4 linked regions of the Pelodiscus sinensis genome follow. The protein of the gene in region 2 interacts with the protein of the main gene of each other region in a biochemical or structural test. Links are inferred from orthologs where the notes say so. Each region holds a gene or a part of one and is shown on either strand. Other genes may lie near its edges.

Region 1 (7,499 bases), on a different chromosome or scaffold from region 2:
GCATTTAATTAGACTTGACATATATAGCTAAGAAGAACAATAGCAGGAAATGGCCTAATGATCCTCTAGCATTTGAAACCTGGCAGGCTGAAGATGCTAACTCTAATAACTTTTCCCCTTGGAACTTTGTTTTTAATTTAAAAAGAAGACAGATCTACAAAACCACTGTGCACATATTAGGAATTATTTCATTCGCTTGCTGCTTACCTCTCCACCATTGATGTAGTCAAGGACAAAGTACAATTTATCTGCAGTCTGGAAAGAAAAGTGGAGCCCAACCAGGAAAGGGTGTTTCACGTTTTTCAGCAGGACATTGCGCTCTGACATTATGTGTTTCTCCTAAAAATAGAAAAAAAACCAATATTTAGTTACAAAAAGCTTGCTAACTTGTAGTAATAAACTAAACTTGGTAATTTGCATTGCTATATTGTGAAAAAGGAGATACTTACCTCCTTCTTTTTCAGGATTGCTTTCTTCTGCAGTACTTTAACAGCATAGAATTCTTCTTCTGCTTTATGCCTTGCAAGGAGAACCTGAAAGCAGTTGAAAATCCCATTACTTAAATGTACTGGAATACAGAGCAGCATATAAACACAGCTGGGAGAAAGGGTTTTGGATATCGTCTATGCTACCGCTGAGCACTATTACCACTGTATATTACCAGCTGCATTTCGAAGCATTTTGATAGCAATGCCTAGCATTATCAACAAAATGCCAGCAGAGAGGCTTTTTAAAAAGGCTGATTCTCCTGGTTTCCAGGACCTACCCTACTACCTCTCCTGCATAAAAGATCAATCCCAGTGAGTTTTCCTTGCAACTCCTTCTCCTTAACTAAAACACCTTGCCCCACCTATCCACTGCAGGGCAAGCAACTTCCTCCTCAAAGCTGTGAAGTATCAGTGAATCATTGGAGAACAGAGATTTTCCCACTAAAGCAAGCTGGCTATATAACCTCAGCCCTTAAACAAGTGCATCACCAAATTAAGGTGGAAAGAAGTAGGACTTACCTTCCCAAAACTTCCTTTTCCAATAACCTTTAAGAAATGAAAGTCTGATGGCTTGGCGTGTGGGTTGGATGACGGGCCAAGATTAATTTGCTGTGAAGGGCTGGGCTATAATTAAAAACAAACAAATGACGCTTAAAAGATGTTTATTTGAAATGGACCACAAAGGGTTATTATACGAATCTATTCATGGATTTAGAGATCATTTTACTTGGTTATATTAAACCAAATCTATGTCCCCTTTCACCAAAATTAGCATGAGATTCTTGTACAACCTCAAATTAAAATTTTAAGTAAGATTAGGGATTTCCCTACTTAAAAGACATGTAATATAGCCTTCTTTAAATCATTGACTTTTTCCATACAAAATAGGTATGAATTTTATTCTAAACTGGTAACTCCTTTTTGAAGTTACATCACTGCCCTGTGAGCTGAACTAAAAGGGACATTCTTGTCAAGTTGCTAATTTACAGAATAGCTATTTTAAAACATGTTTCTATTAGTGGAAATGATTCACATAATGAAGACTACTTACTGGAGGGGAAGGATTAGCATTCATAAGTTCAGGCTCTTCAGGCTGGGAGATCTTCAAAATAGACTGAACTTCAGGGCTGGAAAAGATTAGAGAGTACATTATTAGAACAGTTGCCCTGTACAACAGGCAGTAACATGTCACCTCTAGAGGGCATGCAAGCAGTCTACTTATTAAGTTTCAGTTTGGCAGGCAACTAGGGACAGTCTATTACATTTCAGAACTAAAATGAAACAGGAAAAAAAAAAGAACTAACTGTGCAGTTTCTTGTTCTGTAGTTAAACACTTGCTTGTTCTGTAGTTAAATGTCATGGATAGGATGGGTATCAAACTAACCTGTGCTCTCTGGTTTTATTTATGCTAACTAAACTCAGTAAAAACTTAAATATATGCTAACAAACTCAGTAAAGTGTGTTATATAACTAATAATATTGTGAAAAAATTAATTCAGTTCTGACAATCATTAATAACCTAATACCTAAATATTTCAATCATAAAAATGTAAGGCTCGATTTTCAGATCGATACACATAAAATTGCGCTACTTACTGCTTGCACGGGTAGGAGTTGGTGGCTATTTTTTGAATGAAGTCATTTAGCCCCATTCGTCTCTGTTTCATGAAAGCTGCAAATAAAAAGAAAAGCGTTACGACAGGACATCCAAAACGTGGGTTGTTGGTTTTTTTAAGTGAATCGGACATGAGTCCATCCAAAATATCCGTAGCCCCCCAAAGAGCCATGGTCACTCTGCCTTTCTTCTTCAAACTCACCGATGAGTATGGCAACAACTCCCCTCATCTTGGAATACGTTAATGTGGGTCCAGATGCTTCGGCTTTGACAGTCATAGCTGAGCTACAGTGTGGGTCAGGGAGCAATAATCCAGGCTGATGAATGAGTTAGTCCAGGGGAACGCAAGCGGCTCTGGCTGCAGCCGGCTATCAGTGCGATTATGCTAAACACCAGCTCGCTGGAGCGGTTTATATAGAGACCTCGCCTGAGGGAGGGCGGGGAGGAGAGGAGAGGGAGGGAGGGACCAACGAGGAACAACTATGCGGAAGAGTAAGTCCGGCTAGCCAGGCGCCCAGAACTGCTTTGCCTCCTCCCGCTGGCGCCCGCTCCTTGGCGCGGCCCCGCCCTGCCTGGCTCTGACGTTCGCAAGAGCCGGGGAAGTAGCCTGCCGGCAGGAAGGAGAGCGCTCTGCAGCAGGGCTTAGGACGCGGCGGCGGCATGGCTAGGCGGTGCGTTGCAATACGAGGAACCGCTGAGCTCAGCCGCAGAGGGCCGGGGCCCACTTCCAACCCACTCCGCACAGGCATAAAGAGCATGCACCGCGCTTGGCTAGACTCGACAGCTGCCCTGTCCCGTTTCTCCTGCATTTTGCTTCCCTTCCCATGAGGCTTTGACTTGTTGCAAGCCTGCAAGTCAGTTTCGGGAGGGATACCCTTGCAAAACGGTTTTGCTCCCCCTTTTCTGTGACACCCCCCCCCCCCCCAAGCATGCACGCTAGCTAGCTCTCTGGCAGTGAGAGAGGAGCTCTCGAGGGAGAAAATGTGACGCCCCCTGCCTGGCCCTTTCTCCCCCCTCTCTTCAAAAAATTCAGAAGGGAACCGTTGGTGGGGTCAGCTGATGCCTGTGGCTCACGTGTATTGCACTGAGCCCAATGCATTTCCACAGGGGGAGGCAAAGAAATGTTCATTAACTAAGGATCATCCCTGTTAGCCGCTTGCAAATGTTGGCACCTCATCGCTCCAAGCAAACAACTTCAAAGGGGGACCTTTGCCTCGGTGGCTGGAGATCAGTCAGCTGGTGTCATTCTGTGGCGCTCGGGTCACAATCCGGTTAAGGGGGAGAGAGAGCCACATGGATGCACCGCTCAGGTCACTAACCCCCCCGTCCCAACCCAAGTTACACCACCACATTGAAAGGAAAAAGGATCGGAGCTTCTTACCCAGCCTAAGCAGAAACTCGCTTTCCCCGGCGCAGCCAACTCCTGCAGCCTGCCCTGGTTTTCCCTGGAGAAGGGGATTGTGTAAGGGCTTGCTTTGCTCTTGTGCGGAGGGGAATGTCTTTCTAAAATGACCCCCAGAGCCTTGGTTCTCCAGCGTCAGCAGCAGCTTCAGCTGCCTCCTGGGGCGAAAGGCGATAAGAAACTCCGACGTTTCCTTGAAGGAGCCGCAATGACTCAGGAGAACAAGTTTTCCTGCCCAGCTTTCAGTAGAACAAATGCCCTGGTGTGCATTGCCCGGATCCCGGCCGGGACGTTACAGAAAACGCTTTTTGAATGCTTTGGGCCGACGAGCCAAAAAAGCAGCACCTAGGACTTGCCAGAGGAGGAAGGAGAGGGAGGGGGGTCAGGGGGTGTAGAGCTCATGGAAGTACCCATCTAGTTTGTGTTTGCAAAAGAACAACCCCCCAGCTGAGATTTCAACCACCTTTGCGAACAGCCTGGGCGTCATTACTTGTTGCCTTGCAGTGGCCCTGGGCAGCACGTGGGTTTGTTTATGAATAAAGGCTCTGCCGGGGGACGGCTGGGGTGAGGGTGGCACGAAGGTTAGTGGGTGCCCCTGGGAGGGCAACAGTCTACAAGGGGGGGAGCATGTGTTGGAACGAGGGCTGGGTTTCAGCGTTAGCTGCGGCGGCCACATTCCTATTCACTTCACTCACTGCAACTTCGAAGAAGTCTCCTAACTTGTGATGTGTCCCTACCCGCTATACCGCGTAGAGTTGAGCTGCAACGTGGCCATGAATTTTGCTGCCCTCCTTTGTGCATCTTGCCTCACTCCACATCCCCCTTGGCCGGCATGCCCCTACAGCTCATGTCTCTAACTTGTACTCCCCAAAAGAGAGCACCCCAGCACAGGGGGAGAGAGATGCAGTTCACTGCTGCTCTCAGACTGCAATTCGGTTTAAAGAGAGTGTGCACAGGTAATGGTAATGGCCTGGGGTGGGAAATTGCGCCATGCATACGCGGAAAGTAGTTCAAAGACAACACACTGCTGGTAAGTTTAAGGCAGAGACTGAAGGGGCTGCTGCCGGCCGGCCGGCTCCACTGCCTCACGTGGCTGAGATCCGGGAACCTTACACAGAGTCTCCTAGCGTGCAAAGGAGCGAGAGGAAACCGGCACGCCAAGGCGCAGTTAGTTTGGGGCAGCTGTTCCGATCCTCTGCTTTCTTCCACTTGTTGCTTTGTCTGTACGGGGTGCAAAATCGGCTTGTCTGATCCGAGCAAGGCACCGACGCCAATTCCAATCGTCTGCTAAACGCGCCGGGGGAGCTGGCCAGCTCGCCCCGCTCCCTGCGTGCTCCCGCGCAAGAACCGCTTAGCACCCAACTCGCGTGCCGGAGCCGAGGCTACGCGCCCCCACCAAGCTCTGCAGGCTGCCACCGGCCCTGGGCTCTGTGCTGCAGAAATGTCCCCCTCCCGCCACATGCCATTGCTGCATTACGCAGCGCCCTCTTCTCAGCAGCCCTTTCCCTGTGCTCGCTCCCCACCCCTACAGCGCCCACACAAGCTGCGATCCCCTCGTTTCCTGTGACACGCAGTGCTCGGCCAGGGTCTTGTCAACCCGGCGCTGGCTGCAGCGCAGCTCGCTTGCGCCTTCCCCCTGTTCCCGCTTGGCTGCAGCAGCCGCTCGCTTGCAACACCCCGCTGTCACCATGGCTCTGTGAAAGCCTGTTGCCCTGCAGACTCTCCACACCGCTCGGGAGGCGCACCACCCTTCTATGACCCTGCCACAATGTTAATTGCTAAATGGGGTGCCCCCTCTCTGTCCCTCTGGGGGCACCCCCGTACCGTATAGGTGCTGGAACTAGGAGTGTGTGTGTGTGTTGCAACATCTCCTGGCTTGGTTTGCATTATATACAGAGTCTCCAGTTGGGTTGAAAAGCTCTCAGGAACCCCATTATCAAAATTGTTCCAACTCCCTGCCCTTCTCCCCGGCAGGTACCAAACGCCCCTGCTCCAGACACCTCCCCCCGCCAGTCCTGCTAAAGAACAACAAAGCTGGAACTGCAGCCTCGGTTCAGTGACTGTTGCCCCCCTTTCCCCACCGGTTTGCAGGTCTCCTTCCTCTTTTGGAGAAAAGGTAATTAAAGTCCCTATCAAATGTCAAGTGCTCAGCCTCCTCCGCTCTCCAATCAGGAGGGTCATTCCGCATCGTTACCACTAAGGGTTTCTCAGAGCCTCAAACAAGCCAGAGCGAGACTGTAACAATTGCAAAATAAACCAACCTTTTAATGAAGGCTTCTCTTCTTTGCCTCTCATCTCTCTCGCTCCCTCTTAAAAATCCTACACAGTAGTTTTGAAACGGGGCTCTGACGCCCTGGCTGGGTTATGTATCGCTATAAACCCGAATAACACCCTCTCCGTGGCCGGCCAGAGCTGGAGGGAAGTGGTGAGTAAAGAAAGTAGCGGCTGAGTCGGCTTGCTGCCCGCTTTATGCACCCCATATACAAGGTGATTTACATACAGATCAGTGGAGTTCAACATTGGTCACGCCAGGCACACTCTGCCCCGTTGCAACATAGCCCTGGGAGTTACTGTAATCACCACTTTATTACACACCAGTGCCTGCGTCTGCAACTGAAATGCGGGTCTGCTGGAATTGAGCTGCTGCACAGAGCGCATGGAGAGCCCTCCCGCAGCACACACAGGCCGCAGGCCCGAGGGGCTGCTCTGCCCTCCGCACTTGGCCTGGTTGGCTCCCTGTCAAAGCGTAAAGACGAGGAGTCGCCGCCGTGGTAGCTGTCGGGACGGAAAAGGAACAGGGGCCAGGCTGCTTTGGGTGGGTGGTTTTCCCTCTCCCCTCCCCCGCCCTTCACTTCCATCCTCTCTCTGAGACAGATGGGCTCCTGCGCTTACGGTGTAAAAGGACAGAGGGGTTCTGGAGACGGGTGTGCCCTGCCCACCGGATAGCGACCGGGTGGAACAGGCGCCCCCTGTCCAATCCTGGCATCGAACTACTTCCGAACAGGAAACAGACAGAGATATATCGGGCTCCCCTTCTCTGCCGCCCGGTTGCAGCACACTGAGGTGTCTTTTCCGCTCCCCCTGCGCACACAATAGGCACATGTCTGTGCGCAGAGCCGCAGGCGTCTGGCTGGGTGTTCTTCCGCACAATTGCATCCGCTGCGCCTTTGGCACGTGTCCCGTAGGTGGCGATCGTGCTTTCTTCCGTGGAAGAAGAACAACCAGCACCAAGGGGCGGGGGGAAGGGGGTTGCTTTTTAAGAACTGCTGCCATCCTTCCCCTGTGGTCATCCATACGTGGCAGCCTTTCAAACTGGGAAGCTGTGCCCCTGAAGGCCGCAGGAAAAGATCACATTTTTGCTTTGTTACTCCTTATTTAGTGGATCGTTTTCACTGAGGAGTCATTGAAGGCTTAGAGAGCTGTCATGCACTGAACTTTCCATTGTCTCTTCAATTTTGGCTTTATCCCAAGGGAAAATAACCCAGAGAGAAGTAAAATGAACAGATTGCCTCTCCCGACTGCTCAGATGGCATAGTGATAGGTGCAATAATACATGACAGACAGGTCCCTATATTTAGTTTCCCACACAATTAATCCTTTCCTTGTTTTTAAAAGATCTTTCTAATCTAATTCCTACACCTATTTTAAAACATTTCCATAATAAAAGTCTTGACTTTTATGTAGGAATATGCACAAAAACCTATGGGAGAGGAATTATTGTTTTTTTTTATATAATTTGCACATCTTTCCCAAACCCAAGCAATCAAAAATCCGGACCCTGGGCCTTACAAAATCTCAAGATTGGTTTAGGAATCAAGAGATTTTGTTTCTTATAATAACTGTACCTTTCCTTTCCATTCTGGTTTTTGAGCCTTAGGGTATGTCTGCACTGCAAAGAAAAATTCATGGCTGGCCCATGCCAGCTGACATGGGCTCCCAGGGCCCAGGCTGTAGAGCTGTTTTATTGCTATGTAAATTTCCAGGCTTGGGCTGC
Region 2 (7,130 bases):
TCCGGCATGGTTTTAGTGAGCCGGATGTCCACTTACTGTGGATGTGGCCAAGTTTCCCACAGTCCCATAAAGTTTGTTTCCTGCCACCAATCCTGGCTCTCAGTGTCCTGTGCTGGTCTTTAGTTCTAATTGAGCCCAAAATGTCTTCTAAGAGCCCAGCAAGCAGAAGGGATGTCAAAATGTGTATAAGTCATCGTGATACCACAGAAAATTCCAGCAGTTACATGCAGGGTGGCGGTCAGCTTCCCGGGAGCCGGTGTGTGTGGGGAGCTAACTTTTAAGCCAGCTCTCCAGGCATACTAGCTCCCACCTGTCCTGCCATGCTGCTGCCTCTGATACAGATGCAGTGGGCGGAGGGGGGAGGCAGCTTCCTAGGAGCCAGATGCATGTGATTACACTTTCACATCCCTAGTAAGCAGGGGAAGTGTAGGTAATGCTGCTAGACAATACTGACCTCCCATAGTCCAGCAAATTCTCTGGTTTGGCACCGGTCAGGTCCTCCGGGTGCCGGACTAGAGAGGTTCAACCTGTATTACCGCTAAGCACTTTGCAAGAGCTGCTTGCGAGGGGAGGTAATTCTTTCCATGCGGTGTTAAGATGGTCATGGATGCAGGAATGTTTTCAGGCTTTTTTCCAGCTCCTCGAGAAAGATGGGAACCTTTCCCGCCCATCACAGCGCAGGCTGTACCAAACCTGTGTTCCCAACAATCCTCGTGGGCTGTAGAATCCTCCCCTGCAGGTGAGAGTTTACCAGGGCAGAAGAAAAGGGGCAGCCAGGGAACAGGTGAGCACTTGGGCCATTCCTAAATGCAAAGGAGGAAGGAATGGTCAGCCCTAATCTAGCAAGTTATTTAGGCAGATGCTTAACTTAAGCGAATGAAGTCAGTGGAGCCATGCAGATATGGATCGAGTTAGGCACATGAACAAGTAGTTTCCTGAATTGGGGCCTGACCCAAGTCCTCAATTCACAAGAAATTCTTCCTCCCTGTGCTACCTGCACCCAGCCTGGACCAGCAGCCAACAGTAAAGCGAGATCTGCAAGAAGGTACCTCGTGTTTTGGGCAAGGTCATCCCTGATGTAGAAACAAGGAAGGGGAGCGGCCTAGAAACAGGGCAGGTTCCTGCACGTGTACTCCTAGGAGACGTCCCGACCTGGGTTAAGATTACATACTGGCAGGTGTGTTTCAAAATCTGTGGCTCTGGTATTAGCCAGGTTGTTGGATGACAACACATCATCAAGCCCGAGGGAGGCTCAGGGAAGCCCTCATGTGACACAGCAAATGGAGGAGCCCCCACATTTTGAATACCCCACACAGATGTGGTTGCCTCATCTCAAAGAAAGATATATTGGAATTGGAGAAGCTTCAGAAAAGGGCAACAAAAATGATTGGGGCGTATGGAACGGCTTCCGTCTGAGGAGAGATTAATAAGATTGGGACTTTTCAGCTTGGAAAAGAGCTATCTAAGGGGGATATGACTGAGGTCTATAAAATTGTGACTGGTGTGGAGAAAGTAACTAAGGAAGTGTATTCACTCCTTCTTGTTACACAGGAACTAGGATTCACCAAATAAAATTAATAGGCAGCAAAACAAAGAAAAGAAAGTATTTCTTCACACAAGGCACAGTCAACCGGTGGAACTCCTTGCCACAGGATGTTGTGAAGGCCAAGACTACAAGAGGGTTCAAAATAGAGCTAGATACGTTCATGGAGGTTAGGTCCGTCAATGGCTATTAGCCAGGATGGGCAGGAATGGTGTCCCAAGTCTCTTTGTCAGAAGCTGAGAATAGGCGATAGGGGAGGGATCACGTGATGATTCCCTGTTCTGTTCATTCCCTCTGGGACACCTGGCCTTGGCCACTGCTGGAAATCAGGAGCCTGGGCTGGATGGACCTTTGGACAGACCCAGGGTGGCCGTTCTTATGACTCTCTCTGGCCTCCTTCCACATCACCCGATGGCTTTGTGCAAGCAGGCAGAGACCTGTTGTTTTGCATAGCTGCTGCTAATTACAGAGCAGCCAGGTCTGATGGCAAGCTGGCATACTGCCAGAGGTCTGATGCATTTCACAGCTTAAAATTCTCCCACAAAGACCAATGACGGGCTGATCCCTGGGCTTGGGAACTGAAACCAGCTGCCCTTGTTTCCTTTCGGCTGGCAACAGGTAACCTCGCCAAAGGCAGCGGCGGGTAATAATTTTTGAAGGGGGGGGGCACTTCACAAATTTCTGAAGTGGTTGTGGGTCATCCTGGAAGGGGCGGGGCCTCAGGTGGAAGGGGCGGGGCCAGACTTCCCAGGTTCCCCTGCCCACAGACCTTGATTGGCCTGGGAAGTCATCCCCCCCCTTTCCACTCGGTGCCTAGAGAAAACTGCCAGCTGAACAGCTGGTCGTTCACACTAGGTGCTGTGGGTGGAGGGAGACTTTGCATGCTCCCTCGCCCCCAGGCCAATCAGGGCTTAGGTGCATGGGAGCATGGGAAGTCTCTCGCCTCCTGCCCCCACCCTGCCAGGGGCACACGGTGCCTAGAGGGAACTGTTTTGGCCAGCTAGTGGTTCCCTCTGGGGCTGTGTGCGTCTGGCGGGGGAAGGAGATTTCACGTACTCCCCTGTCCCCGGGTTTCCATTGGCCTGGGAGCGGCAGGGCGGCTGCCGACCGGATCAACCAGCTTGGCGGGCTGGATCTGGCCCATGGAGGCTGGCTGGATCTGGCCCGCAGAGGCTGTCTTGCCCACCCCTGACCTCAGGCCATTACGCACCTACCGCAGGGCTGAGCAGAATGCGATTCGTTGCCACATTATTTCCTTGGAAAGTTACCACAAGATCTGAAGTGAGATAAGGGATCTGCATTGGCAGCCTTGAGCCAGAATACTAATGTAATGTATTCCTAGAGAGAAACTTCCCCCCCTCTAGGCATCGCTCTACCTTTCCCCTGCTACACCCCATCAGTGTGATATCCCAGGCCTCTTCCTGGGTGGTGTGGAGAGGGCCGATAAAGAAAAGTTATTTATTAGTTCCCTAAATAGAAGAACTAGAGGACACCAAATGAAGTTAATGGGGAGCAGGTTTAAAAGTAATAAAAAGAAAGTTCTTCACACAGCATGTAGTCAACCTGTGGAACTCCTTGCCAGAGAAGGCGGTGAAGGCTAGGACTATAATAGAGTTTAAAGAGAAGCTGGATAAATTCATGGAGGTTAGGTCCATAAAAGGCTATTAGCCAGGGGATAAAATGGTGTCCTTGGCCTCTGTTTGTCAGAGGCTGGAGAGGGATGGCAGAAGACAAATCGCTGATCATTGTCTTTGGTCCACCCTCTCTGGGGCACCTGGTGCTGGCCACTGTCAGCAGACAGGCTACTGCGCTAGATGGACCTTTGGTCTGACCCAGTACGGCCGTTCTTATGTTCCTCCAAGGTGATTGGGCGGTAACTGCCCTCAAATTAATAGATGTTTAGAGGACGTCAGCGTGCTATAAGGTCAGCTGTCCTACCTCAGTGACAAGACAAATAAATGAGCCGGGGCCAAGAGATCCTCTTAGTATCTGGCCAAAAGGATTTTTTTAAGGCCTGATTCAACCACCCCCACTAACGTCCATGGGGAATCACCCTACAAACCCATTATTTTATTTTCTTATTTACCACCAGTGTGAGGACTTGTGCTCCCATTCTTTGCACTGGGAACTCACTGCGCTGTGCTTGCCCGTATGTTCGATTTCCTCCCTGGGCGTGCATTTGGGCGTCCCGCTTGGACTGGTTTAACCGGTTCTGGATGGCACATCTATGCCTGGCAAAGGGCTGCAAGGAACCATCCCCCACAAAGTGGCTTTCAAAGACGCAGTGACCAGCCGGGCCCTGGCCATATCTTGCCTCCATGTTACACGCCCTGGGGTGAGACCTTCCTAGATGTCCTACACAATGCGTGTGTGTGTGGGGGGGAAGGAAGGGGGAATAGCACCAATGCCAGCTGCATGTGCTGGGCTGTGGCTGGGTTATGTTGTTCGGGGGCGAGTGTATAATCAGGAGACACACACCCATTCCCGCAGCAGCCAGCTCTGGAAGGTTCCGGGTTGCATTCGGGGGAGGGGCAATGGCCACAGCTGGCCTCCAAGCTCTTCCCCCGGCTGCAATGTCACGGAGAGCCGCGCGGAGGAGGCGCTGCAGCCCCAGTAGCGGCGGCGGGCACGGGCCGGAGCAGGCAGGCAGGCAGCGGCGGGGCTGCAGCGAGGGGGTGCGCCGCGGCGCAGAGCGCACGGGGGGAGTTTGGCGCAGCGCAGGGCGCACAGGACGCAGGATGGCCCCGCTTGGCGGCGGCAGCAGCAGCAGCCCGGCTCCTGTCTCTACGCTGCGCTGCGCGTAAGGGGCCCGGCTCTCCAGGCGCCCCGGGAGAAGCGCAGGCAGGGGGCGCGCCCGGCAGCTGCCGCCACTTGTTGATCCAGCCGGGACCCCGCTGCCCGGCGCCTCCGGCCGCTGCGCGCCGGGCACCCAGGTTCCCCGAGGGGCGCTCGCCCCGGCAGGGCCCCAGCCATGGCCAAGGACCAGCTGAAGCCCCGGCTGTGCCACATGCTCAAGGGGGAGAGCGGCTACGGCTTCCACCTGCACGGCGAGAAGGGCAAGAGCGGCCAGTTCATCCGCAAAGTGGAGCCCGGCTCCCCGGCCGAGGCGGCGGCGCTGCGCGCTGGGGACCGGGTGGTGGAGGTGAACGGGGTCAACGTGGAGAAGGAGACGCACCACCAGGTGGGCAGGGCTGCCGGGGGGGCCGGGCGGGGGGGCCCGGGGAGGGTCGGTCAGTCTGTACTGGGGCAGGAGGGGGTGTGCTGGGGACCGTCTGTCTGTCTGTACGTGGGCGATGGGGCATAAGGCGCCGGGGGACGGTTTGTCTGTCTGTACTGGGGTGGAGGTGTGTGCGCCCGGGAATGTCTGTCTGTCCGTCCATGAGCGCTGGGGAGTAGGGTGCCAGGGGCCGGTTTGTCTGTCTGCCTGTGTTGGAGCTGGGGGGCCCGGGGGCTGTCTGTCTGCACTGGGGAGTTGCCCGGGGAATGTCTGTCTGTCTGTGGGCACTGGGGCAGCGGGCGCCCAGGAACAGTCAGCCCATGCTAGTGGAGAGGTGGCACCCTGGAACCGTCGTCCGTCTGTCTGTGCTGGGACAGAAGGTGTCCTTAGTCTGTCTATCTGTGCCCAGTTGAGCGCTGGAGAAGGGGGCTGTCTGGATGGAAGGTCAGTCTGATAAGGATGTAATAGTGCAGTCGATTAACTGATTAACCAATAAGCAAAAGCTTCTAGGTCAATGCTATCGACTACCCGCATTCTCCCCTCCACCCCCACCAGTACAGTTTTTAGCAGGCTGGCCAGCAGCCTGGCTCATGCCAGGTCCGGGACCTACCCCCGCTGCAGCTCTGCATTTAAAGTGTAGTAGGAGCCAGGTGGACAGGCAGCCCGGCTCAGTTCCAGCTCGTGCCGGGTCTGGGAGCTCAGCCCTCCCTCTGGACAGGGTGCTCCCCTCGTGGACCAGCCTCATAAACTGGCTCCCCTCACGGACAAGCCCCTGTCTGGCATGTGACGGGGGGGCTCCTTGGGAGTGGGGCTGGAGCGTGCTGGCTGCCAGCCCCATCCCCAAGGACTATAGAATAACGGAGTAACCGATAAGAATTCATGAGTTGAATTGACTGTTAAATTAACCGGCATTTAACATCCCTACAGTCTGACTCTAGAGCTAGAAGAAGTCCCGCCAGGTGACAGTCCATCCTGGGGTGGGCAGTCCGGTTGTTGGCTAGCGGGTTTCATCTGGAGGTTGAGAGCAGGGAAACCAGAGTGACATGGAAAACCTTGTCATCTGCTGTGTCCGTGTCTCCTGCCAGTGGAAAGAGGTGCCCTCGGCTTGGGTCATTCACTTGTTTCCTCTAATTCCTGGGCTTCACATGCTCCCTGCTGTGCTTGTGCCCACTTCTTTGGTTTTATATTCCGAGAGGTGAGAGTCAGGAAAGTCCTAGCAAGTCGCATCAAGCCCAGCCTGGCCAGGGCAGGATGCTCTCTACAGTGTATTTCCTATTGCTGTGTCCAGGCTGGCAAGAAGCCCTTTTTGTTCATCCATAAAACCCCACGTTCTGTAGAGCCCCCCCGCCAGCCGCTCCCCATTGGGCCACCGTGTGCTATTTTCCTTCCGGGGATCTGTCCGCGTTCAGTTTGGTCGCCAAAGCTGCGTGCACTCACAATCCGACTGAGTCGCTTCCCCTGAGCTGCTTCTCTGCTGGATTCTCCAGGCGCGTGTCCAAGTGAAACCAGCGTGATGGAAAGTGTGCGTCTCTTTTTGGGTGATGGTTCCTGAACCTCCAGGCCAGCAGGGTAATCCGCTGGGAGACAAGCAGTTTATGGGGAATAAGATCCTTGTTGGGGCAGGAACCAGCACGCTAAGCCTGCTGAGTCGCTTCTTGTGTCCGCACATGGAGTGCTTTTTCAGCTTGTTGGCTGTAGCCGAGCAGAACTATTTACGTATGCCCGAAACAGCCTTCATTTGCCCTGCTGCCAGGATTCCCGGCTCCTCTGGTGGTGTTGGTGGCGAGAGCGTACGAAAGGTGAAAGAGAGCTAGCAGGGTGATCCTCTCTGTGAATGTTTGTTTAAAAGCTTCCCTTTGGCAAGGAAGCAGCGGTAGATACTACAGGTTCCCGCACTATAAATAGGTTCCCGCACTATTCCAGGCCTTCCCCATGCAGGGATGTTGTCTTACCATGCTGCGGCACCAGATAACTTTCAACAATGACAGTGGTTGGCCTTGTCTGCATTGGCCAGGTAGGAAAGACCAAAGGATGCGATGACATTGGCAGGACGTTGCTGTTACGTAGTCAGCCATTGCGTTGTCAGGGCACACGTTCCAGCAGAAAGTAGCTTCTGAGGACAGGGCAAGAAGCAGTGGGCTTAAATTGCAGCAAGGAAGATTTAGGTTGGACACTAAAAGCTTCCTGAGTGTCAGGGTGGTGAAGCACTGGAATAAATTGCTCAGGGAGGCCGTGGAATCTCCATCACTGGAGATTTTTAAGAGCGTTAGACAGAAACCTGTCTAGATAACACTCCAGCCTTGAGTGCAGGGGACTGGACTAGATGTCCACTTGAGGTCCCTTCCATTCTTAGGATTCTAGGGGTCTGAG
Region 3 (7,883 bases), on a different chromosome or scaffold from region 2:
ACACTATCCCAGAGGACACTACTGCCAACCTGATAGCAGACCTATGTAACTTTGTTCTCACCCACAATTATTTCCAGTTTGAGAACAACTTATACCTCCAGATCAGCGGCACAGCCATGGGTACACGCATGGCCCCACAGTATGCTAACATCTTTATGGCTGACCTAGAACAACGTTTCCTCAACTCCCGTCCCCTTTCACCCCTCCTCTACCTACGGTACATCGATGACATCTTTATGATCTGGACACATGGCCAAGAAACACTGGAGATATTCCACAGAGATTTCAACAACCTACACCCCACCATCAACCTCAGCCTGGACCATTCTACACGAGAGATCCACTTCCTGGACACCACCGTACAAATCAACAATGGAAAATTAGACACCACTCTCTACAGAAAACCCACCGACTCATACAGTTACCTACATGCATCCAGCTCCCATCCAGAACACACCACACGATCCATCGTCTATAGCCAAGCCCTTCGATACAACCGCATCTGCTCTAACCCCACTGACAGAGACCAGAAGCTTCAGGATCTCTACCAAGCATTTATAAATCTCAACTACCCACCCAGAGAAATAAAAAAGCAAATTGAAAGAGCCAGACGAATACCTAGAAACCATCTACTTCAAGACAGACCCAAGAAAACCAACAATAGAACACCACTTGTCATCACCTACAACCCCCAACTAAAACCTGTCCAACACATTATCAATAAACTACAGCCTATATTGGAACAGGATACCATACTCAAAGAGGCTCTGGGAGACAGACCCATAGTCTCATATAGACAACCACCTAACCTCAAGATGATTCTTACCAACCACCACAGGACATACCACACTAATACCAACCCTGGTACCTTCCCTTGCAACAAAACCCGTTGCCAGCTTTGTCCACATATTCATTCTGCTGATACCATTATTGGACCTAACCAAGTAAGTTATAAGATCAAGAACACATATTCCTGCGCATCCAGAAATATAATCTATGCTATCATGTGCCGAAAGTGTCCGTCTGCTATGTACATTGGACAAACATCTCAGACACTTCGCCAAAGGATTAATGCCCACAAAACAGATATCAGACAAGATCACAAAGAGAAAACAGTTTCTTGCCACTTTAACCAGAAAGGACACTCTCTAAATGACTTAGCCACCTGCATTCTGCTACAAAGACCTCTTACATCTGCACTTGAAAGGGAATCCTCTGAACTGTCATTCATGTTAAAATTCGACACTTATCACCAAGGACTTAACAAGACTTTGAACTTTCTCACCCATTACCAAGACAGTTTCCCCAATTATCACCTGTAATACCATTAACTCACAAACATCCCACTCTCCCTACCTTTAATATCAGCAATTCACAGACACTTACCTTCCTTCCTCCCCCTTCCCACCCCCCCGCATCCCCCTTCTGTTCTGCAATGTGATTTGTCCTTTTCATATTTGTTCATTTTTTTTAATTGTATCCTTTGGTATATATGGTTGTGACTACTTTCTTCCACTATTTGATCTGAGGAAGTGGGTCTGGCCCACGAAAGCTCATCATCTAATAAACCATCTTGTTAGTCTTTAAAGTGCTACATTGTCCTGCATTTTGCTTCAACTACCCCAGACTAACACGGCTACATTTCTATCACTATTCTACATGCAAGGCACTACATTTAGCCGTTTGGAATGGAAATCCATCAACCATATGAAGAAACTCGCACAGATACAGACAGACATCATCTTTCTATCCAAGTGCAAGAAAATGGACATCGTACCCAAAGGACTGAAAGTGAACAATCCACTAAGATCAACATACTTCACTGACTACAGTGAAAGACTCTGCCTCACACTATCCAAGAAATTAAGAAACCACCTGATAAGTATTTTATACAAGAAACAGAAAACCATCAAGAATGACATTTCTAACTTAGATCGTCTCATCTCAAGACAAACATCCACACCGACTGACACCTTGCAAGACTTTTGTTCCACCAGACAAGAAATCTACTATACACACTTCTATTCCCTACAACAAAGAAAAGACAATAAATTTTCTAACCTGCTCCATACCACTGGCTACAACAGCAACTGCCTCAACCCACCGGATAATATTGTTAACCTCTCCAGCTACAAACTCAATCCAGCAGAAGAGTCTGTCTTGTCCCGGGGTCTCTCTTTCTGCCCCACATCCCCCACAAACTGGATACAATTTTGTGGTGACCTTGAGGCTTTTTTTCGCCGCCTCCGTCTCCGAGAATATTTCCAAACCACCACTGAACATCAATCTGACCTACCAGATCCCCCCTACCAACACCAAAGGAAAAATAATTCTATATGGACTCCCCCTGACGGTCGGAATTACAATCTGGATTTCTATATACACAGCTTCCGCAACAACGCACAGACTGACATTATTCGCAAACGACAACAAGCGACACACAATCTTAGCCGCGCTGAACACCATGCCATCCAGAGTCTCAAAAACAACCTGGACATTGTAATCAAACCAGCTGACAAAGGGGGTGCTGTGGTCATTATGAATAAGGCCGACTATTACCAGGAGGCAACCAGACAACTCTCGAACACCACATTTTACAAACCTCTCCCCTCTGACCCCACCTTGGACTACCAAAAGAAACTACACTGTCTCCTTAAAAGCCTCCCCACAGCTACTCGGGAACAAATCCTCACAGAATCACCTTCTGACCCCCGACCAGGATTGTTCTATCTACTTCCCAAGATCCATAAACCTGGGCACCCCGGACGTCCCATCATCTCTGGTATTGGCACGCTCACTACTGGTCTATCCAGCTATGTAGACACTCTTCTCAAACCCTTCGTAACCAATACCCCCAGCTATCTCCGAGACACTACTGACTTCCTAAGGAAACTACAAAACATCGATAACCTCCCCAATAATACCATCCTTGCCACCATGGATGTAGAAGCTCTATATACCAACATCCCACATGAAGACGGATTACAAGCAATTAGAAACACTATCCCAGAGGACACTACTGCCAACCTGATAGCAGACCTATGTAACTTTGTTCTCACCCACAATTATTTCCAGTTTGAGAACAACTTATACCTCCAGATCAGCGGCACAGCCATGGGTACACGCATGGCCCCACAGTATGCTAACATCTTTATGGCTGACCTAGAACAACGTTTCCTCAACTCCCGTCCCCTTTCACCCCTCCTCTACCTACGGTACATCGATGACATCTTTATGATCTGGACACATGGCCAAGAAACACTGGAGATATTCCACAGAGATTTCAACAACCTACACCCCACCATCAACCTCAGCCTGGACCATTCTACACGAGAGATCCACTTCCTGGACACCACCGTACAAATCAACAATGGAAAATTAGACACCACTCTCTACAGAAAACCCACCGACTCATACAGTTACCTACATGCATCCAGCTCCCATCCAGAACACACCACACGATCCATCGTCTATAGCCAAGCCCTTCGATACAACCGCATCTGCTCTAACCCCACTGACAGAGACCAGAAGCTTCAGGATCTCTACCAAGCATTTATAAATCTCAACTACCCACCCAGAGAAATAAAAAAGCAAATTGAAAGAGCCAGACGAATACCTAGAAACCATCTACTTCAAGACAGACCCAAGAAAACCAACAATAGAACACCACTTGTCATCACCTACAACCCCCAACTAAAACCTGTCCAACACATTATCAATAAACTACAGCCTATATTGGAACAGGATACCATACTCAAAGAGGCTCTGGGAGACAGACCCATAGTCTCATATAGACAACCACCTAACCTCAAGATGATTCTTACCAACCACCACAGGACATACCACACTAATACCAACCCTGGTACCTTCCCTTGCAACAAAACCCGTTGCCAGCTTTGTCCACATATTCATTCTGCTGATACCATTATTGGACCTAACCAAGTAAGTTATAAGATCAAGAACACATATTCCTGCGCATCCAGAAATATAATCTATGCTATCATGTGCCGAAAGTGTCCGTCTGCTATGTACATTGGACAAACATCTCAGACACTTCGCCAAAGGATTAATGCCCACAAAACAGATATCAGACAAGATCACAAAGAGAAAACAGTTTCTTGCCACTTTAACCAGAAAGGACACTCTCTAAATGACTTAGCCACCTGCATTCTGCTACAAAGACCTTTTACATCTGCACTTGAAAGGGAATCCTCTGAACTGTCATTCATGTTAAAATTCGACACTTATCACCAAGGACTTAACAAGACTTTGAACTTTCTCACCCATTACCAAGACAGTTTCCCCAATTATCACCTGTAATACCATTAACTCACAAACATCCCACTCTCCCTACCTTTAATATCAGCAATTCACAGACACTTACCTTCCTTCCTCCCCCTTCCCACCCCCCCGCATCCCCCTTCTGTTCTGCAATGTGATTTGTCCTTTTCATATTTGTTCATTTTTTTTAATTGTATCCTTTGGTATATATGGTTGTGACTACTTTCTTCCACTATTTGATCTGAGGAAGTGGGTCTGGCCCACGAAAGCTCATCATCTAATAAACCATCTTGTTAGTCTTTAAAGTGCTACATTGTCCTTCTTATCTCATGGGCATTTCCCGCTGCGGTGTGACAGTTGTGAGCGCAGAGCACAGACCTGCAGCACTCTCATTCGCCACGGGAAGGGACTGGCCGTGTTTTCCCACCCCCCCCCCCCCTTGTTCCCGAGCAGGCGCCCCAAATACTTCAGTCGCTTCCCGGTGCCTGCGGAAGGCAGGGCGGCGCTGCTGGGAGGGAGCGCGGGGAGGGGCGCCGAGGTGAAGTTGCTTGGCACATGCTGCTTTGGTTGCAATCGCTGGGAGCGCGGCGCGCTGGCTCGCCTGGCTCCGACTGCCCAGCCCAGTACGCACAGTGCGAGCCCTGCCGGGCGCGCTGGGGAGGGGATCCAGCAAAGGTTATCTGAGGGGTGACCCCCAAAGGGCTTCACGATGTAATCATAAAAAAGAACAGGCAAGGGGAGGTGAAAACAACCCAAGCCCGGGCGGGATCTACCGGCAGCCCGGCCTGCGTGCGCTGCGCCCCAGCGCGCCTCTGGGGCCCAGCCGGTTCTGCCCCTAGACGGGGGGGGGGGATCCCCTGAAAGCGAAGCCAAGCCCCCTCCCCGGCAGGCTGTGTGCAGGGGGGAGGAGGCTGCGAGGACAGAGATTGGCCCGTGGGGAGCGATCCGCCCCGTGCTCTTGGGAGGGCTCGGTGATGCCCCAGAGCGGGGGCTGCCCGGCCTCTTGCATCCCCTGCTCCCCCCGCTGCCCAGCCCCAGCCGTGCCCGCTTGTGCTCGGCGCTGCCCGGGGAGTGGCTGGGCGCAGAGTCCCGGCGCGACGGGGACCCCGGCCCGCGCCGCTTCCTCCTGTCGGGCTCAGCCGCCTGCAGCCTCCGCGGGCGCGGCGCGGGAGAGAGCAGCGTAGCCCCGCCTCTGCCGGCCCGGGAACAGCCCCATAAAGGCAGCTGCCGGCGGGCAGCGGGACGGAGCCGCAGCATCTGCCCGTGCGCAGCGCGTGTCCAGAGCCCTGCCGGCTTGCAGAGGGGAGGCGGCAGCCGGCCCGGGGCGGGGGGATCACAGAGCGCCTGGCCCGGCCAGCCGAGGGTGCGCGGTGCAGATGAGCTGGGAGATGGGACAGGTGCCCCTGGCCGAGGGGCTTCTGGCTCTTCCCACAGTCCTGGCCCAGGAGAAGAGCTCGGGAGAGCATACAGCTGGCAGCGGACCCCACTCCTTTCAGATCGTCTCTTTCAAATGGCATCATGTGCAGGAGCCTTATATCATTGCTCTCTGGATATTGGTGGCCAGTCTGGCCAAAATCGGTGAGTCCGGAGCTCTGCGGACATCTGCGCTCTCTGAGCTCCCCAATTTAAGTAACAGAGGCTCGTTATCGCCTGCATTGGTCCCTTTTCAATACACAGGGGGTGCTGTGTGTCTATTTGCTTTGCCACCTTGCTTTCTGAACAGGGTCATCCACAGCGTTCAGCAGTGGGGTTTGGGCTAGACCAGGGGATTACTAGGTCATTCTCAGCAGCTAGGACCATAGCGTTTGTATCTGATGGTTGGTTCATGAACGCAGTCTTCTTCCATTGGTCCCGGGATAACTAAGCCAAGTAGGAAATAGGAAATCGAATTTGGTTATCTATAAAATGACAACCCTACCTTAGGGTATATCTTCCACCTCCGATAACTGGCAACGATGTTATATAACGAACTTTACATAAATATTGCAAACCTGGGTATTTGGAGTGCTAGTAACTTCTGCTCTTGGACTTCAGTGTTGTATTACCTGGAGGAGAATGCAAAAGTGCAGCTCTTTAACCTATGTGGAATATGGGTCAGTTTGTATGTTTTGGTTAATTACAAGCTATTGTTTTCTGATCCATGTGACTTTTCTAAAAGTGTAACCTCTTGTCCATATTATTATCACTAATGCCTAAGTGATTTTAAGTATGTTTGCTGGTGAATGACTGGTTAGCTGAAACTTATTTAGTACCTTAGTTCTGTTTGTCCAAAATTCCTCAAAATAGATCTCCAAGTTGTGCTGTAATCTTAAATATCTTACAGTGATGATTCATGTCCCAAACCACACTGAATGTAAGGGCCATTGGCTAGTTGAAGGCCCATTGCATTTTACAGATAAATTTCCTTGTGTGAAGGTGCAAACTGCATTCAAATCCAAACAAAACTGTTTCCATTAATTTTTTTTTAAATGAATGCAGGATATGAATGCCAGTTTCAGTGTCACTTTTTAATACAGACCTAAGTTGGGAGCTTCATCTACCTGACAGTGTGTATGTAAACTGAAGAGCTCTGTGAGAATAAAGTTATGAAACATATCAAGAAAATGTGTCTGGATGGTGTAATTGCCCAAAGAACAAGATACCTACATTATCTATAAAATGTAAAAGTTTTGATCTAGTTGACTTTTATTGACAAGCTGTGTCAATTTGAAGAGACATAAAACTGCACAGTGACTGTTATTCAGGAGTCTTAAGTACTTTTTGACTCTGGAGAAACAAAATCAGTGATGGGAGAAAGGGGTGTAAGCAAAAGAGGAACTACACTGGCTGCAGATAAATTCAGAAATTATAGAAATGCACTCATTGCCAGTTTGAGCCTCTTTTTTGGTGAGGAGGGTGTACTCAACTAGTAACATATTTTAGGGTTGTTGAAGTTATGATCTGGTTTCTGTGTATATGTACCACTGCTCTCTACTGAATGGAATCAGTGCTGTACAACTCTATCTTCTAAATCTAAGCTCTATTCCTCTAATAGCTAGTGAGGATTCTCCTTTAGCATAGTGGTAAAAGCACTTTTGTTACACTCTCATTTTCAGGCAGAGGCAAACAATTCAGGATCTGCATCGGGCTCTCTTTTTAAAAAAATTTTTGGAGCTCTCTTCACTGCTACACTGATTCAGGCTCATTGCTGGTGTCCAGTGATCCCAGATGTTTCCCTTGCCTCTCTGCCCGAATTTGTAACTGTTTCACTTGAGGTGGTCTCTGAAGAGGCTCTGAACAACAACTGTGTACTATAAAGCACTAGTAGCATATCTAGTGCAGGTTTGGCTGCTACCAACAGCCGCCAATCAGATGAGTGAAATGCGGAAGTGACCACTGCTGATTGGTGCAGACAGACTCAAGGTGTCTGTTCTGGCTCAGAAGGGAGTCGAATAAAAAGGATTAGTTTTTGTTTGTTTGTTTTCAGAGACAGGGTGAGTGAGGTAATATCTTTCATTGGCCCAATTGTTGCTGATGAGCTCTTCTTGAGGTCTGGGAAAGGCACTCAGAGTGTGACACCTGAATACAAGTTGGAACAGATTATTTTAGAGTAAGTAGTTAGC
Region 4 (7,290 bases), on a different chromosome or scaffold from region 2:
ATAGTGTCGGCCTCTAAGGTGCCCCAGGGCTGCGTGTGGTTTTGAAAGTTAAGGACTATCCCGGCAACTCCTCGGAGACTTGACGACATTTAGCCTCGTCCATAAGACTAAGCGGAGCGAGTCACCTTTGGTTGTACCACCTTGAGTCACAGTTTTGTTCCCCTCGGGAAGGCAGTTGGCTAAATAGAGATGAACTCTTCCTACAATAGCAGTCGTGCCGTACAAAATCACACTGGTTCACACACAGATGGCACACAGCCTTCGATGGCATAGGGCTAATACTACTCTAATTCCCCTGAGTGTAAACCATATGCCATCCATGCGCTGCTGGACTGCAAAGCAGATCCAGTACGCTACTGTACACAGACACTCATGGAGCGGAAAGCAGTTGTTTGCTGAAATTCAGCTTTCCCATGATTAAATTAAGATTCCCATTATCATCCGGAACAGCGGGCCCCACGCTTTGTCTCCATTCATAGGAGAGAGGGGCTGATCACAGAATTGTGTCCGAGAGCCGGCCGAAGTCATTTGGAAGTGGGTAAGAAGAATTCTCCCGAACGCTCAGTCATTTTCATTGCATCTCGCCTAGCAGCTTTCCGGCTCCCCCCGCCAGCTCTAGCTCCGCCAGCAAAAATCAAACATGCGTCTAAAAAAGCCAGCGCTTTGCCCGCTTCTAAATCCTGGTACAGTCAATTACTCATCCAGGAAACAGGCACAGCTAAAGGAAACAATTGCTCAAGAATGTGCAGGAGAAAAATTTAGCAACTTACCAGAGCATAGACAGAACTCAAGACGGAGCAGCAGAGGATCAAGCCCAGGTTGTGATAAACCAGATATGATCCCATAGCCAAGAGAGGTATCGCCCATCCACAATCTCCAGGGGAAGTAGACTGAGGGCGAAGGATCTTCCAGGGGTCCAGTTGTAGATGAGGTTTTCTTTCTTTTTTTTTTTCCTTCCCAGGTTTTTTTATTTGCTTGTTTGTTTCCACCGTTTTAGCCAGAGAGGCACATGACAAGAAGCCCCAGTGCTTCGCTTCCTCATGGCTGGAAATCCAGGCAGTTTCAGCAATGTGGGGAAAGCGTCCATGTGAAGGGAGCCCCAAACACCCGTCTCAGGCAGCGTAGCAGTTCCTGGTGCTGTTTGTTTTGTGTGTGCATCTGTCTCGGAGCAGAGAAATCACATCCATATGTCAAAACTGCTATTCTGCTTCCTTTTTATGAGGCAGTGGGAAGTTCAAATAATTTCTTTGTCAAACGCAAACACACACACACACTCACACATAGAGGTGGGGAGGGGAGGGGGAAGTTTTTAACCACTGCTTTATTTTTAGAGCTAGTAATTTTATCTTTTAGGCTGGGGGGAGGGTTTTTTAAACTTTTTTTAGGCAAGTAAACAAATCAGAAAGTCAGGGCTTTTTTTTTAAGCTAGAAATATTTTCACTGGGCAAGTACATTTATGCAAACAGGAGAGGTGCTGGGTATTTTGGCTTGTGTATTCCAGTGCAGCTCTGCTCCCCAAGAGGTTTATTCTGACAACCTTCCCTGGATGCCGTGTGTTTTAGTTACAAATACTATTTTTTAAATGTATTTTTTGCCTCTCTCTCTCTCTCTCTCTCTCTCTCAAAGGCTCTGCAGTTTCAAAAAGCCAATTGAGTAGAGGCTGGAAGCCTGAGCTAAAGAGCTGGGGTTTTTTTTCTTAAATAGTTTATTTTAGATGCTGCAGTAAAAACTCTTTTCACTGACTAGCTGACATTTTCCAAAATCGACGGGTTTCCATTTGTACAAACACACACACACATACACACACACAAGCTGCTTGTCCTGTCCTCCGGAATCAAATCACCAAAGCTCAGTCCAGTAAAAGTTGCTGGGGGATTTTTTTTTCTCTCTCTCCCTCTGACTGCTGCAGTTCCCTTTTAGACTCACCAAATGAACATGCGGAGTGTGGGTTTACTTCCCCACCGACCAGAGGAGATGAAAAGAGAAGCAAGCGGGGCATTTTTCATTTGGGGGAAAATCAACCAACCTCCAGACTCCTTTTCCTTCTATCTGAAGAAGTGGGTTGTTCCCAAGAAAGCTCATGCTACTAGCTATATTCTTGGTGAGTCTCTAAGTTGATCCAGCACTATTCCTTATGGGGTTTTCTTTGTTTATTTTTTTTTTAAGTTACAAACCCCTGAGATTTTTTTCGTCTATTGTTGACATCAAAACACATGGACCCTGCCGCTTCAAAACACACACAGACACACACACACACAATCCAAAGATGAGAACTTCCTTTTATTCTGTACTGAAAACCCCACCCCTCCATGCACCCCCAACCCCAACACCCACCCCCTGAAATTTACCAGCTTGTTAGTTTCAAGGCAGGAACGTTACTCCGCGCAGTCAGTCAGTTTCATTCATAAAGCGGCAAGAAAAGGCTCCGTCTCTTCTCTTAGAAAAAGCCTTGAGTTTTTTGGGGGGAGTGAAGACAGAGCACAACCCTCCAGTCCTAGTTTTTTTTTTTTTTTTTTTTTTTTTTTTTTTGCGGGGTGCGTGAAAGAATAAGGAACGAACGCCCCGGGGGTTATTTCTAGCTGGATGGGCGCATTTATTTTCTTGCAACTCGGAGGATCAAATGGTGTATTTTATTTTTTGTTTGTTTGTTTGGCTTTTGCAGCAGGTTTCTGTTAGCGGCTGTGATGGTTGCGAGGGGGGAGCCGCGAGAAAATAGCTAGCTAGCTCTTGGCGAGCCGGAGGGGGGGAGCGCATCGCATTTTCGCGGTGCGCTTCTTTTTATTTTTGGCGAGGGGTGGAAAAAAAGTCTCTACGGTTGCTTTGCCCTATTTTTTTTTTTTTTTTACAGCTCCCCTTGGCTGTGAATGAGAGCCTTCAGCGGCTGGTATGAAAAAGGGTCTCTTTCCCTGCAAAGGCAGAGCGGGGCTTCCTGTGAGCGAGCCGGAGGAATAATCCTGCTCTTGATCCGCTCCCTCGCTGCCGGCCGGAGTGGATCTCCGGGAATGTCTGCGGTTTTGGAGCACAGAGGCAGGTAGAAAAACCCCGCATGGGCAGAACCTCATTGGCTGGGAATCGGCACCATGTGACCCTCAGCCTGGGAAGCGCAGGGTTGGCTGTCCACACCCCCCCACGCCCCCCACCCCACCCCCTCGCAGCCTGGCCAGGAGCGCGCCGTGCGTCCTGCGGTGCCTTCGGGTGCGCATGGGAACCCCGAGGCTCCTGCTTAGGCAGAGCTTCCAGGGCTGAAATCCTGGGGGGGGGGGGGTAAATCTGGCTGGAGAATCAGATCATCTAGGAGAATCCCCCCCCCCCAGATCGCTGGTGTTTTGCAAAACTCTGGCACGGGGCAGGCGCGCAAAGGGGGTGGACTCGGAGGAGAGGGGCGGGGTTGGCTGGGAAAGCCGGGGCGGGGAGGTAGTTTGAAGCGGATTGGGTGTTGATGTTTTCCCAGTTGTGAGCTTTGGGCGAGGCCTGGAGAGGGCTCCCAGAGCTGGCCCAGAAGCCATCTCCTAAGCGGGGAGGAGAGAAAGACCCAACTCCCTGGGCGCTTGGAAAGCCAGCGGCAAAAGGCGCTTCACACGGGTCCTCAGGGCCGACTTATCCAGTAGGCACAGTGCCTAGGGCCCAGGATACTTTTAGGGGCCCACGAAAATGTTTGAATTTCTTTGCAAATCAGAAGGGGAAAAAAAAAAGAACTTTTAGGGTCGAAGAAAACGTTTTCATTTTTTTTCTCCCATCAGAAAAAAATGAAACTTTTAGGGCCCACGAAAATCTATTAAATTTTACCTAAAACAGAAAAAAAGGTTGAAGTATTTAAAGTTGTATCAAAAATAATTTTTAATATTGATATTATGGAGGAAGGGGCCCACGAAGGAAAAAGTGCCTAGGACCCACGAAGTCACAATGCGGCCCTGGGTCCTCCCTCTACCCCCCACTGGCTTTTGCCCCAGCTCGTGCGCAAAGTGCCCCTCCCGCCTCCCCAGGCTGTGCTATCCCTCCATTCCTGGAATGAATCATACAATCATAGAACACTAGAACTGGAAGGGATCTGGAGAGGTCAGTGAGTCCAGTCCCCTGCCCTCCCGGCAGGACCAAGCACCACCTAGACCAGTGTTCCCCAATTTTATTTGGCCACAGAACCAGAATTTTGCTGCACCCTATCTATGGAGCTGAAAAATGTTTAAGGACAAGAAATCACGCCACTGTGCTGAAGTAAAGTATTCGCCAGCGCACTGCCTACGCGCTCCCGTACGAGCAAGCGGCTTGGCAGCCGAAGCTTCGACTTTGTCCGACGCGGCGCTCGTGTATTCGTAATTCAGTCACCCACGTGACCCACGCTCCCGGAGAGTGAGTACGGGGATTTACGGGGGTATCTCACAGGCTGATTGACTGCGAGCACGGTGCTGAGTCATGACATCATCCCCGCTCTCGGGCTAAGTGGGCGTTACGCAGGGACACTGATCGTGGCAAACACACATGGAAATTGTTTTCAATACAATTCATAAATGCTTAAATATTAAATGTGGTTTAATCGTAAAATGTTCTTGTAATGGAATTTTCTCGCAGAACCCTTATTTCCAGTTTCCCTGGGGTTCCATTTGGGCGGAATACCCTTTGATCTAGTTCAGTGTTTCTCAATCTTTTTTTATAAAGTACCCCTTTTTCAAAAACAAAAATTATAAGTACCCCCAGTACCTACAGTTTTCAGACACACCATTTTTTTTTCTACCATTGCAGCACATTTGTTTAAACAACTTAATCGTAGCCAGGCAGGCGATGAAATTTTGGGGTGTAAAAAGTACACAAAGAATAAAACGCTGTAAAACTTAAAAATTCAGCTTTCTCCAACTTTCAGTTGTGTTGATGTACCCCCTGGACTTCTCTCGAGTACCCCAAAGGGTACTTGTACCACTGGTTGAGAAACACTGGCCTGTATCATCCCTGAAAAATATCTATCCAATCTACTCTTAAATATCTCTAGTGATGGAGAATCCACAACCCCCCTAGGCAATTTATTCCAGTGCTTCACCAGGACAGGAAATTTTTCCTAATGTCCAACCTAAACCTCCCTTGCTGCAATTTAAGCCCATTGCTTCTTGTCCTGCCCTCAGAGGTCCAGCAGAGCAATTCTTTTCCCTCCTCCTTGTGACACTGTTTTAGATTCTTGAAAAGCACGATCATATCCCTTCTCAGTCTTCTCTTTTCCAAACGAAACAAGCCCAGTTCCTTCAGCCTTCCCTCTTAGCTCATGCTTTTTAGGACCTTGAATCATTTTTGTTGCTCTTCTCTGGACCTGCTCCAATTTCTCCGCCTCTGTCTTGAAATGTGGCGAGATCAGAAATAGGGCAGGTTTTCAACAGCGCGGGGGAACAGCCATGGAGCCCTGACTCTCAGAAGCAAGGGATGGATTGCTCAATAATTTGTCCTCGTTCTGTTTGCTCTCTCTGAGGCATCTGGCTCTGTTGGAAGACGGACTTGGGGACTAGATGGGCTATTTGGCCTGACCCGGCATGGCCCTTCCTATGGAATAAAAGCCCCAGGGAAGCAATGGATTCCCCATCTCTCCGTGTTCTTGAATCGAATGAGGTGCTTTTCTAGAAGTTGTGCTTTAGCTTGACACAAGCTACTGGGCTCAGTGTATCAGCCAGGAGCTGAAATTCTGTGCTCAGGCCTCACAAGGGAGTGATGGGGAGGGGGGAAGCGGGCAACTGCAGGGCCAGCGATTCAAAAGGGGCCTGGAGCTTCCAGCCGTCGGAGTCCTGGGCCCTTTAAATCGCCACCGGAGTGCCGTGCGGTGTGCTCCGGGCAGCACTCAGGGCTGCCAGGGGAGGCCCCGCCCCTTCCCCCCAAGACTCCGCCCCTTCCAGGGGCAACTGAAAAAATGACTTCTGGTGTCCTGCTCACGGCCCTCCTGCGGATGCATCCCGGAATCATGTTGACTTTTTTTTACAACAGTGTCACACTGTTGACTCTTATTTAGCTTGTGGTCCACTCTGACCCCTAGATCCCTTTCAGCAGTGCTCCTTCCTAGGCAGTCGCTTACATAAGAACATAAGAACGGCCAGACTGGGTCAGACCAAAGGTCCATCTAGCCCAGTGTCCTGTCTGCTGACAGTGGCCAATACCAGGTGCCCCAGAGGGAGTGAACAGAAACAGGGAATCATCAAGTGATCCGTCTCCTGTCCTCCATTTCCAGACAAACAGAGGCTGGGGACACCATTCCTACCCATCCTGGCTAATAGCCATTGATGGACCTAACCTCCATGAATCTATCTAGCTCTTTTTTGAACTCTGTTAAAGTCCTAGTCTTCAGAACATCCTCTGGCAAGGAGTTCCACAGGTTGACTTTGCGCTGCATGAAGAAAAACTTCCTTTTGTCTGTTCTCCTAGCCTTGCAACAGCTCTGTGCTTGGGACTTTTTACTCTCGGGTGTGTTTGTTAGGCAGGGAAACCCCACATTGTGCATGTTTGTTGTGGCTGGATTATTAAAGCCAGATTTTGCCCCTCCCTTCCAGTAGCATAGCACAGGATCTATGTCACAGGTGCTTACCCCTTGGCACTGAACGTCCCTGGCCAGGGGGCCACCGGACTTGTTATACTGATCACTTGCTTAGTGCCCCTGGTGGTAGACCTGGTTCGGGGGAGTGAAAACAAATAAAGATCCTCCTGCTCTGACACTTTTGGGACGGGCTCTAGGCCTGTAAGGTGGGGATCCTCTAAAGCCATGGTGTCTAACATGCTAGCCACTAGCCACGTGTGGCTCTTAGGCCGGTGGATTGTGGCTAGTTGGCTATAGAAGCCTCCAGTGTAGTGGCTTCAAAACTGGTTGGACACCAACGTTCTAAGGTATTTAGGCACCGAAGTCTCACAACAGGGAATCATCACAATGGGACGAAGGCGCTTGTCTCCCTTGAAGGATCTGGCCTAAGATCTCTGGGGCAAGGAGTGTGTGTGTGTGTGTGTGTGTGTGTGTGTGTGTGTGTGTTGCACCAATCACAGCGGGACCCTGATCCCCAGTCAAATCCAAAATACACTCATGGGGTTTTAGACACATCCTAAAGGAGAGCCTGGAATCATGCAGGACTCTTAGCCCCTTTTTACCCATGAGGATCAGTGCCACAAAAGACTGTTGGCTCCTAATCCCCTTGGAAATCCACAGGAGCCTAAATACCTTGGAAGATCGGGGCCTATGTGACTTCTCCAGGTTACAGAGGAAGAGTCAGGCAGAGTAGGGATGTCTGTGGTCTGCAGCCCTAGCTTGCTGGTTCTGTGCCCGTGTGTGTGTGTGTG

The links.
Region 1: the proteins of NHERF2 (region 2) and SGK1 form a complex in vitro, tested with the Homo sapiens proteins (2 studies listed by BioGRID, with this or other methods). The link is inferred for Pelodiscus sinensis from reciprocal best matches to the Homo sapiens genes NHERF2 and SGK1.
Region 3: the proteins of NHERF2 (region 2) and SLC9A3 form a complex in vitro, tested with the Homo sapiens proteins (2 studies listed by BioGRID and IntAct, with this or other methods). The link is inferred for Pelodiscus sinensis from reciprocal best matches to the Homo sapiens genes NHERF2 and SLC9A3.
Region 4: the proteins of NHERF2 (region 2) and PTH1R interact in a test that uses a peptide from one of them, tested with the Homo sapiens proteins (2 studies listed by BioGRID and IntAct, with this or other methods). The link is inferred for Pelodiscus sinensis from reciprocal best matches to the Homo sapiens genes NHERF2 and PTH1R.

The regions. Positions count from the first base shown.
Region 1 is NC_134713.1:95,699,769-95,707,267, forward strand, and holds the start of SGK1 (serine/threonine-protein kinase Sgk1), read right to left. Parts: upstream 3,013-7,499; 5' UTR 2,382-3,012; coding exon 2,306-2,381; intron 2,161-2,305; coding exon 2,085-2,160; intron 1,616-2,084; coding exon 1,540-1,615; intron 1,113-1,539; coding exon 1,008-1,112; intron 534-1,007; coding exon 450-533; intron 340-449; coding exon 208-339; intron 1-207. UniProt on the Homo sapiens protein: Serine/threonine-protein kinase which is involved in the regulation of a wide variety of ion channels, membrane transporters, cellular enzymes, transcription factors, neuronal excitability, cell growth, proliferation, survival, migration and apoptosis.
Region 2 is NC_134726.1:37,832,933-37,840,062, forward strand, and holds the start of NHERF2 (Na(+)/H(+) exchange regulatory cofactor NHE-RF2), read left to right. Parts: upstream 1-4,116; 5' UTR 4,117-4,514; coding exon 4,515-4,724; intron 4,725-7,130.
Region 3 is NC_134712.1:145,368,339-145,376,221, reverse strand, and holds the start of SLC9A3 (sodium/hydrogen exchanger 3), read left to right. Parts: upstream 1-4,868; 5' UTR 4,869-5,657; coding exon 5,658-5,859; intron 5,860-7,883. UniProt on the Homo sapiens protein: Plasma membrane Na(+)/H(+) antiporter. Exchanges intracellular H(+) ions for extracellular Na(+) in 1:1 stoichiometry, playing a key role in salt and fluid absorption and pH homeostasis.
Region 4 is NC_134712.1:254,793,639-254,800,928, reverse strand, and holds the start of PTH1R (parathyroid hormone/parathyroid hormone-related peptide receptor), read right to left. Parts: upstream 3,002-7,290; 5' UTR 2,349-3,001; intron 1,163-2,348; 5' UTR 868-1,162; coding exon of another isoform or gene 846-867; coding exon 771-845; intron 1-770.